Bombyx mori: one gene and its partners. The main gene of each other region encodes a partner of the protein of the gene in region 2 in a complex. Links are inferred from orthologs where the notes say so. Each region holds a gene or a part of one and is shown on either strand. Other genes may lie near its edges. The genes, in order: pleiotropic regulator 1, E3 ubiquitin-protein ligase RNF113A and armadillo repeat-containing protein 7.

Evidence for each region.
Region 1: E3 ubiquitin-protein ligase RNF113A (region 2) and pleiotropic regulator 1 share a complex: the UniProt entries of both Homo sapiens proteins name them as parts of the minor spliceosome. The link is inferred for Bombyx mori from reciprocal best matches to the Homo sapiens genes RNF113A and PLRG1.
Region 3: E3 ubiquitin-protein ligase RNF113A (region 2) and armadillo repeat-containing protein 7 share a complex: the UniProt entries of both Homo sapiens proteins name them as parts of the minor spliceosome. The link is inferred for Bombyx mori from reciprocal best matches to the Homo sapiens genes RNF113A and ARMC7.

What each region holds. Positions count from the first base shown.
Region 1 is NC_085129.1:1,617,404-1,621,073, forward strand, and holds the start of pleiotropic regulator 1, read right to left. Parts: upstream 2,925-3,670; 5' UTR 2,696-2,924; coding exon 2,580-2,695; intron 2,293-2,579; coding exon 2,165-2,292; intron 1,691-2,164; coding exon 1,454-1,690; intron 1,035-1,453; coding exon 948-1,034; intron 426-947; coding exon 340-425; intron 1-339. UniProt on the Homo sapiens protein: Involved in pre-mRNA splicing as component of the spliceosome. Component of the PRP19-CDC5L complex that forms an integral part of the spliceosome and is required for activating pre-mRNA splicing.
Region 2 is NC_085108.1:7,586,246-7,590,005, reverse strand, and holds the start of E3 ubiquitin-protein ligase RNF113A, read right to left. Parts: upstream 2,788-3,760; 5' UTR 2,538-2,787; coding exon 2,444-2,537; intron 1,174-2,443; coding exon 1,022-1,173; intron 471-1,021; coding exon 318-470; intron 1-317. UniProt on the Homo sapiens protein: Required for pre-mRNA splicing as component of the spliceosome. As a component of the minor spliceosome, involved in the splicing of U12-type introns in pre-mRNAs. E3 ubiquitin-protein ligase that catalyzes the transfer of ubiquitin onto target proteins.
Region 3 is NC_085121.1:11,321,740-11,325,499, forward strand, and holds the start of armadillo repeat-containing protein 7, read left to right. Parts: upstream 1-1,232; 5' UTR 1,233-1,385; coding exon 1,386-1,494; intron 1,495-2,037; coding exon 2,038-2,208; intron 2,209-3,635; coding exon 3,636-3,760. UniProt on the Homo sapiens protein: As a component of the minor spliceosome, involved in the splicing of U12-type introns in pre-mRNAs.

The DNA of each region.
Region 1 (3,670 bases), on a different chromosome or scaffold from region 2:
CTAAATACAAAAATTCATCTGCTTTATATACATATAATTATATGGAGTATTTCAGAATGAATAAACAATAATGAATTAGTTGTGGTTTCTGTGATATAGTAAGAAAGCAACATATAAAGCCCTTAACCTCAATTAAAGAGTAAACAGTACATATTATTAATAATAAACTATACAAAACTGAACTCTCTTTTTCACTTCACTCCATGACACTGAATAACACTGAAGAAAAATCCTTTTTAAAATCTAAATAGTTTTAAATAATAAAAGTTTTCTTTACATATATTTAAAGACATATCATTTAACCTATATTTTTTTGTTATTTATAGGTCAATAACTCACTTTGTTATATTCTAAGTCCCAGCACTTCACCTGTCTGTCCTCACCGCAGCTGAATAAATATGGATGTCTTGGTGACACTACCACTCCTGAAATAGAATATATTCATATTACACATACTGGTACTTGATGGATTCTTAGATCATGATTTTCACAATTAACATAGACTCAACCTACGGTCTCTGTGCGTACAACATGATGAAATATCCAGAACTGTGTTAATGTGAAAATTATGATCAGAACTTGTTATGTAATTCTGTAATATACATAGCAGCAAAAGTTTGAAAAAATTAAAAATGTCTACTATTACTAAAATAAAAAATTACTAAATTAATTAAGGAACCGAAGATTGGGTTTAGTGGCGAGCTTTGGGGAGGCTTATGTCCAGCAGCAGACTGCCGCAGGCTGATGATGCTAAAAAAATTACTAATTTAGTAGGCAGCGGCTTGGCTAAGCCCATGGCATTACTGAAGTTCCTGGGCGACGGTAACCACTCACCATCAGGTGGGCAGTGTGCTTGTCTGGGCAATAAAAGAAAAATGCGTTCATTATTCAAAATCTGAAAACCAAGCATTGATTTTTGCATGAATACAAAAAGTGTGCGCACCTACCTCTTACTGTACTCACATGTCCAGTGAGAGATACTTTTAGTTTCCCACTTGCTAAATCCCATACTTTTATCACTCTGTCAGCGGCACCTGAAATATCAAAACCATCATGCAGATTAATTCCTTAGGATTGGTTTTATTGTAATGGTTGTGCTAAAAGTTCATTATAACAGAAAAATGAAGTAACTTTAATCATAAATCAAGTTTATTTTTTCAACCGTTCATAGGACAACAGCTTGTCTACACAAATACAATATATTGATTATCTAACTGTCAAAGTTTATGTTTTGTGTTGTATTGATAAAAAAGTCTTATAAATAAGTATATTTAATATGTAAAAATCAAACTTTATATTAATAAAATTTTTAAGATTGACAAATTTGTAATTATAATTCTTACCACATATCCTTCTTCTAATTTATACTAAAAGGATTAAATATATTAGTTAAATGTTGGCATATTAGATGCCATTAGTTTGCTCTGTATGTGGTTTCTATAATTTTACTTACCGGTAGCAAACCACTCATTTCCAGGTTCTACAGCAACACATCGAACCCAACCCAGATGACCTGATATAACACGCATTAATTTCCAGGGTGGGTGCCATTTTGGTTTGGGCATAGACGGCGGTTTCCGTGGTACAGTTAAAGCCCCCGAGGGGGGAGCTGGTGACGGTGAAGGTGTTGGTCCAGAGTATGGGACAACAGCCCCTTCCGACGGCAAAGGTGCAGTTTCCACTGTTTCTGCTAAAGAAAACATTCGATTTATTTCATTGCAATATCAAGGAGTATTGGACCGATTTTTTATTGAATGTAATGAGCATAGAACTCATGAGGTCCACAGCTAAATTCTTGCTGTTTTTTTATCATAACGAAAATGCAACTTTGTTGTAAAAAAAATTCCATAAAAATGAATAATTTTTTTTTTGTTTCTGTATTTGATCCATATTTCTGGAATGTTCTCGATTTTTGTAGAGATATCGTATTGACTATAAAAGCGTTGCAGAGATGACATGAAAGCAGTTATTAAAAGGATCTACTCAAAGCGAAACAGCAAACGGATCACCTGAAGCGAAGCGGAAGAAGTGAATTACGAATTGTAAAGTGTTTGGTAAGTGTTCTTAGTTTTAAATAGAGTTTTAATATGTACTTCAGTGGAAGTTTTATTTATCCTGAGCCTAAGCGCTTAACCGTATATAGGAGTTTGTTAATTGTTTTTACCTGTGGTCAGTGGAGTTTCAGGTCTACAGGTGACAGACTCTTGTTGTTTCAGGGCCTGAGCCTTCCGCACTGCACCCATGACTTGTCCGTAACTATCTCTTGCTTTAACCAATTTCAGTACTTTCTCTCTGTTAATGTAAAATTATAAATAATAATTATCTACTCTAGTGTTTTATGTAGTTATACATAACGTGACATTTTCCTCTAATTTATTTACCTTGACAACATTGTCTGCTCCCATAAAGGTTTTCTCCAGTACAGTAGAAAGTTTTAAAGGTTTAGCAGAAATTTTTTGATACGGAACAACAAATCGCTTAGTTTGTCTATTGTACCGATCTTTGAAATAGCTCATCGATTATTTCCATTAGGACTTGTATTAAACTAACCTCAAATAATATTATTCTGTTTTACTTACGCTTTATCGTCGATTGGCGGCAACATTCCTTGATTAGCTAGGAACATATCGTGCGATCTTTTCAACGATCGAAACACTAAAGTGTGTACAGAATGTTTAATCACGTCCTCAGACATTATGAAGTTATTAATTAATGTCTAAAATTACTTAAAGAATACGAAATACTATTAACTTGTAATATTAAATCAGCATTTAAATTCAATTTTATTTTTAATTAATGCATATTCCTTATGATTCTTACGAAAAGCTTTTTGGTTTTAACGGTGTCGAGACCAAGAAATACCCGACAACAAACAGCAACAACTTTCCTACAAAATAAATCCTACGTCAAACAAACGTCAAATGGACGGTATGAGCAGCGTCACTGTCAAGTGTCACTGTACAGATAATAAAAAATTTGGGCAAATGAATGCAAATCTCGATTAGCCTGCAACAAACATAATTATTATGATTTTTTGAAATTACCATTTTAATTGTTTTAAAACAAACATTTTAAATTCCTCTTATTGAGCTGAAATACTAAAGGGTATTTGAAGAAAAAATTTATTGTTTGTTGTTTATGCTTGTTGTGACGGATAGAAAGTACGGATTTGGCTCAGAATTTTATCAATAATTTAATTAGAGTTTGCTCCTAGAAATGAAAAAAACACTGTTTACACAACGTCGATTTTATTCATAAGTACAAAATTCGAGCATAAAAATTCATTGCGAAGAAAATTGTGGAATTGATTTTCAATAAAATACACAGTGGACTATATCTATATTTACCTCTAAATTCACAAGTAGGTACGAACATGACTAGAAATTGTGCTTACAGACTAGAAACTAGACTAGATACAGCTGCTCACTAGTTTTCGAATATTTATTGATTTAATGATAGCTATTTGTTATGTTAAATTACATACAATAAACATCCTCCAAAGTATTATTTACATTGTACAGTGTGCCTGGTGCGAGTTGTTTTAACTTCTCGATCGTGTAAAAGTTACTCAAAATTGTATGGAGCTGGGGCAGTTACTCTGCGTTTGCCGCTAAAGGCGCTGTTCCAACTCCATACAAATGGTACTAAGCACATTGTACTGTTCAACACA
Region 2 (3,760 bases):
GATTTCAATACTGTTAAATGGATACCTGTAGTTCTCACATTTGCGCGTGGAGCCTTTTTTATGGAGAGGAATTAACATTGATTCCGTCCAGTCTTCAGGCCACTGGCCAGTACGCCATATTTTCTGGCAAATGGAGTGTAAAATCTTGGTACCATCCGAGCCTAGGCTCTTTAACATTAGAGCGGTTACGCTGTCCCTCCCGCATTCTCCCTCAGGCAACATTGGAGGAAGCTGGTGCAAAAACTGGACCAAGGTGGTCACGATCCTCAGTAATGAGGAAACGACAAAGAAGAAGAAGAAGAAGAAGAAATGGATACCTTATCATCTGCTTGTCCGTGCAACTCTTCATTGATCTTCTGAGCCTTCTCAAAGATGGCTTGGGCATCTCTATCCTTTTCTGTGTCTAATTCATAGGTAGCTGTTGCATTCTCTCTCTGTTGTTGAACCGATAGTGTTGTCCTTTGAGAAGTCTGAAAGAATTGTAAGCTTATGTTGATCTAAATGGATCTTAAAACGGTTTTTTTTTATGTTCAATACAGAAGACAAGACTTCAACATAAAGATGACGTGTAAAAAGATTAAAGAGATAAAAAGATGTGTGCCAGATTTAAGTAAAGATAAACTGCTCTAATTGTTGATAATATTGATTTCAGTGGAGATATAACTGAGACACTAACAAATATCTCAAGATGCATGGCGGCATTTACTTTGTAGATGTCTATGGGCTCCTGTAACCACTTAAGAACTTAAGGAATAAAAAAAGACAACCCGAAAGGCTGAAATGGCAGCAAGCAGGCTGTTGGAACCAAAAGTTCTCAAGTGGCTATTATATATCTAAATATGTATGAAGTATGTGAAGATTTGAAGTGTGGGTAGGCCTTCTACAAGATGGACCAACAGCCTGTTTATGATATCTTATATCTGGTGCTTCAAAGGTGCAGATCTCATTATAGATCAGATTATCAAATCTGATGATATCCAAGTGAGTTGATGATGATGATGAGCTGTTAATGTTACTATACCTTTTCTTCATCATTACTATCATCATTATCTTCAATTACATCAATTTTGGATTTCTTCGGACCTCCTGTAGACTGTATGTTTGGATTTGGTTTGTTCACCCTTTTCGTTGGTAGAACTACTTGTTGCTCATCAGAGTCCGAGCTGTTTTTCTCTGAAACGTTACTATATTAAATTATATATTAAGCAGCCGTCTGGTGTAGTGGTAAGTGACATGGTCACTACACAAGGGGGTCGCAGGTTCGAATCCCGCCAAGGGAAGATATTTGTATGATAAATATAAATGTCTTTCCAGGGTTATGGGTGTATATTAAATATATATATATATATATATATATATGTGTATAATAAAAATATTATATTTATTTCCGTTATCTGGTACTTGTAACACAAGTTCTTTACGAACTTAGCACGGGACCAGTTAACGTGGAGTGATTGTTAGTAAATATTTATATTTATAAAAAAAAAAAATATCAAGTATATATGAGGCTGTCAGCGCAAAAGTGGCCTAACCCACAATTTTTCATGCTTATAATCATGTATATTGCAATTTATTTAATATATAATAAATTTTTATGCAAAACCGGCCTATCCATAGTTTCACCCATAGAAAGCAGATGGCTTTGTAATCATTATTTTAGCGCATATTGTTTTTTTTGCCAACTCAAATTCAAATTCATGAAAACTAAAGCCTCATTGCTCCATAATAACTATAGTACGCTTAGGCTGCTTTTGCGCTGACGGCCTCATATGATAAAATATATATCGACACTTGAAAGGCAAACGTGACTAAGCGACAATGCGTGAACTTTACGGTAGACTAATTTAAAGTTGAAATACATGAAAACAAAATTTATTTTAACGAATCCAGTTGTAGTAGAAACTAGCTAGTAGCTGTAGGATTGAAATAATTTTAATAGACCTAGAAATATATATTTTTTGCGGATCGAATATGGTTATTGCCTATCATTTATGTGCAAAGCAGTTATTGTCGCTTAGTCACTTTTGCCTTTCAAGCGTCGATATATTTTTTTTATAATGGTAATCTGCCGATAGTTTCTGCCAGCAATTTCTGCCAGTGTCGTGTTATGGCTACATATGGAACATTGTCGAGCTATTTAAACACACTTTATATTATAAAAAGTATCCAATTTTGGCTATATTAATGGTGCCTGGGACTAACACAAAATTAATGTTACTACAAACTTACATATTATAATAAAGATTATGTACAGAGAATAATGCGCTACATATAATTATAATTTTATAGTTAGTAGTTATACACTTAATAAAAGCACTTATAATACGGGGGTCTGGGAACAGTGAGAAAGAGGATATGAAGAAGCGATGAGATAGTTTTAATGTACTATTCTTAGATGTCTTTCGTTTGGAGAATAATTTAATAACTTAACGATCAATATTACCTTCTGAACTGGAAGTTTTACGTTTTCTGCCACCCCTATTCTTAATATTACGTTTTTTAAAAGTACTGAGTACTTCCACTTCGGCGTCTGACATTTTGAACGATTGTTTATTCAACCTAGTGTGTGCTTACTACGATATTAGAGTAATATCTACATAATCATTAATGAGGACACAATAATACTAAATAAAAGTACTGTATTTCACTTTAGGACCTTCAAGTATTGTCGGTATTTATAGGGTTTTTAATTAATTTTTGCATTTCACAACATGATAATATTGGCAATGATCAAAATAATGCTCATTTTTAACATTGACATGTGATTGATTTTGACGGATAGTTGTTTTTTTAAACTATGATTTGTCTATTGAATGGAGGGAATACTGCCCATACAACATAGCTTAAACATTTATAGCAATGCCTGAAGTTAAATCAAAACTTAAATTAGCATATGGAATAATAAGGTTAAATAAGAGAAAGCCGTACATGTTGTATAAGATGAAATAAAATAGCCTGTCAGTAAATTAGCGGAGACTTATTGAGGCTTCTAGGCAATTTGGAAGGGACCCGAGCAGCCACACAGCCACATTGAGGAATTCTTTTTTTTTTCACACTTAAGCCCTTTCTACTACTACTGTTAAAAGTTGAAACCAGAGTTAAAACTCAAACATTGTAATGGACATAATAAACACTATTCTTATCACGATGTTCATGTCTCTTTTATAGTAATAATAAATAGATAAATTAATAAAGTCATTAGCTGCCTTGAAATAAAGTGGAAGTGGAATCATAATTTACCATACAAACTGGAAATATTGAATGCTAAAAGGTTTAGGGTGTAATTTTTTTTTTATTGCTTAGATGGATGGACGAGCTCACAGCGCACCTGATGTTCAGTGGTTACTGGAGCCCATAGACATCTACAACGTAAATGCGCCACCCATCTTGAGATATAAGTTCTAAGGTCTCAGTATAGTTACAACGGCTACCCCACGCTTCGAACCGAAACGCATTACTGCTTCACGGCGGAAATAGGCAGGGTGGTGGTATCTGCCCTTGCGGACTCACGAGAGGTTCTACCACCAGTGATTACGCAAATTATAATTTTGTGGGTTTGATTTTTAATACACGATGTTATTCCTTCCCCGTGGAAGACAATCGTGAACATTTGTTGAGTACGTATTTCATTAGAAAAATTGGTACCCGCCTGCGGGATTCGAACACCGGTGCATCGCTCAACACGAATGCACCGGACGATTTATCCTTTAGGGCACGACGACTTGATATTTTAAGGAATGCACAAAAAACTCAGTCTAGT
Region 3 (3,760 bases), on a different chromosome or scaffold from region 2:
GACGTGAATGATAATCAACAATACAATGATCAAAAAAAGTATGTGCATGTTATATTTTAGAAAATTATTATTTAATTTCCTTAAAAATCACAACTCTGAAACAAAATCATAAAATAGAATAAAAAATAGAAAACAAAAGGACTGGAAATGCAATAATACAATTTTATTTAATCAACATTTTCAAAATAATCTTTGAGCAAGAGTAAGATATCAGGTGAATAAGATAAAAAACCGGCTTTATCTGATTACTGCCAATAATAACAAAAATAAAAGAAATTCTTTCTAAGCGAAATAACTAAACTCAATTAATTCACTCACTCATAATTGGATATCTCGGATTTTTAATTAATGTTACATTTAAAATCTGAGGCCTGTTTTTATTTGTGTGTGCGTTGTGAATGTTAACAAAATCATGATTCGACGCGTGAATAGATTATGAAATAACAAAAGTTTTGATTCGTTTGAGTTCTTTTAACTTTTTTTTTTTTTTATTGCTATAAAGAACATACGACCGGGCAGATGTTACAAGGTAAATGTCGCGAAAAAAAAGTAATTATATATATACTTTTCTTTTACCTATAATACTTACATAAACTAACTGATAAACATATTAACCTTCTTTACATCACGCAATTAAGTGATAGTATAGGCTAAAAAATCTATTATAAGATATCAGTGACAACCCTAACAAGCCATCCCTATTTTGTCTTTTGGCGTTCCAATTTTGTGTTTTCTCGTCCCTAATTTTTCCAGTCTCGTTCCAAATTACCCTACAAACGTCCCAATTTTCCCCAAAAAGGAAAGAAAAAATATACATTTTTTATTTTGTCGAAATATTGTATTTAAAATAAGAATATTGCAACTTACCGTTTGTTGTGGTATTTCCAGGTGTATTAAAAACTTATATAAACTGTGATCTTATTGAAAAAACAACGATAATATTACTTTTTTTAAAAGTTCTTTAAGCTGTTTTAAAACGCACTTTTCAACCACTATTTTCAATTTAATTTGACGAATTTTTGGGACCAACTTAACTCATATTTAGTACTTCTATAGTTAACTTGGTTTTTCTTCTATACATTGACAAATATTAACATAAACAAAATTAGGTAGATTCCGTGCTACAGGTACTTTGAGAATCTTCCGCAGGTTTGTCCCAATTTACCCCAGGATCCCAATTTACCCCATGTCATGGTAGATAAAATGTTCCCTTCCGCATGTCATTGTGCCACCTGTCAAATGTCAAAAACAACAGAGAAAACTGTCATGGCGTGTCAATTGAATTATTGAATCAAAGGAAAAATAAGGAATGTGTATTTACTTTAATGAAAGTGGTCCAGTCAAAGTAGGATTTTTTCTATAGCCTTTTAAGTTACTATAATTTAATGTTCAGTTCAAGAGCACACTTACAAAAACGTACCCCAAAAGATGGTACTGATCGCGAGGCATATTTGTCATTATTAGTCGACGAATATTTACACTCAAGTTCCTATGGTAATAAAATATACATGCAATATCTATTTAATTAATTTTAATGCGATTTACGTATGAACTTTCACAATTGCCATTAAAGTTTTTACTTTTAAAAATCTTAGATAGTTAGAAAACTATTGCATAAACAAGGGCGACCTTAATGCTAAAGAGTACTCACAGTACAGCTAGCCCTATTGCGTTTGGATAATGGTATTTTTCGTTTTAATAAAATTAAATTGTGTATGTGACTTATGGGATATGATTATAGTGATTTTAATATTTATATTTTATATTTATATTTATTGTATCATACATTAGTTTTTTTTCTTCATTATTAAGTAATGTGCATGAAGGTTTGCTCTGTTTCTGAATAATTAATAACATACCTGTTGGATCTTTTTCACAATTTCTCTAGATAAAAAAGGTTGTTTAGAAGAGATGATTGTGTGACACAATGATGATTGTGTTTTGGTGTGTAGTAAAGTAATCTATCTCTCTCTATCTCTGTCTCTCCACGGCTCTCTCCATGGCACTGCAATTTGTTAATGTTATTTTTCCTTACAGAAGCAAAGTTGCAAGTTTTAGCCAATTTGGCAAATTTTGCATATGATCCTGTGAACTACTCATACATTAGAGACGTTGGAGTACTAGATATATTCTTGTATGTGCTGAAGAATGAAACTATTGGTAGATTAATAAGGTATGCCATTGCGGGTGTCTGCAATTTGTGTTTAGGTAAGCTGTTGATAACAATAGATGAATAGTTTTCTCAAATTATTATAAGTTCAATTAAACTGTCAATTTTTTTATGAAAACTCTTATAAGAAAGAACCTGTTCAATAAAAGTATTCTTTATATTATTATGTACAATAATTTATTTAAGATTATCAAAGTAGCTCTATTTAAATTTAATTAAATACTTGAACTATTTGAATATTTGTGAGTGTTGATAAGATGTGATTTAGTGCATTTTAAAGTAAATTAAAATTGAAAGTGCCCAATAATATGTAGTGAGCTTGCACCGTTTTCTTGTAAATGTTTTAAGTGCAATGCTGCTTATACCAAATAGCCATTTTCCCCTCAATATTGTGTAACTGTCCCTACATACCATTAAATTGGAACTCTCTTTATTATATTGGAAAGTCTTAAGCCCATTAGACTGAAATGGTTTATTAATGTTATATCTGACAGTAGTACCAACACATGCTGCCACCACACTACTGACAGTATTCAAGATAATAATTAGAAGAGTAAGGAAAGTAGTAATTAAAAAGTAAAAAAAATTTGATTCTGATTCTCAATAATATTTTCATTAAGAAAGAATAAAATAGCAAATGCATTAATAAAATAGCAATAGACCCGACTACCGACTAAACCCCATCGAGCTCCACTACTCCGACTCCACGAAACCTACGGTACCGCACAATGCGCGCCGCAGGCTCGCCGTCGCCGGTACCCGTCCTGACAATAGGACGGGATCCAATCCCCGGGAAGATCCCGCAGGAATAGACTAGCAATAGAATAGCAATAGACCCGAAATAAATTATTGCTAAAAAAGAAATTAGTAATACTAAAGATTTATCAGTCATTTTGAATCAAACATTTTGAAGTCGTTGTGGTCTAAAGGATACTCCGTTTGGTGCATGCGTATCTTGCGATGCATTGGTGTTCGAATCCGGCGGGTATCTGGCGGGTATCTGGCGGGTACCAAATTTTCTAATGAAATACGTACTTAACAAATGTTGACGATTGACTTCCACAGTGAAGAAATAACATCGCTTAATAAAAATGAAACCCACAAAATTATAATTTGCGTAATTACTGGTACCTATTGTGAGTCCGCACGGGTAGGTACTACCACCTTGCCTATTTCAGCCGTGAAGCAGTAATGCGTTTCGGTTTGAAGGGTGAGGCAGCCATTGTAACTATACTGAGACCTTAGAACTCATTACAAGGTGGGTGGTGGCATTTACGTTGTAGATGTCTATGAGCTCCGGCAACCACTTAACTTCAGGTGGGCTGTGAGCTCGTCCACCCATCTAAGCAATGTAAAATCCCAAATTTAGAAAAACGCTAGAATCATCTTTAAAAATTTGACACTATATAAAATCATATTGCTATTTCACATTTCACATGTTTATGTAAGAATTATCACTTTTCAGATCCACTGAATGCAGACTATATTTTAACTCACTTGGGATTAAAACCTTTGTTTCGATTATTGAAGTCAAGTGATACAGACACTGTAGCTGATACAATAACGACATTGATATATATGTACAATGAG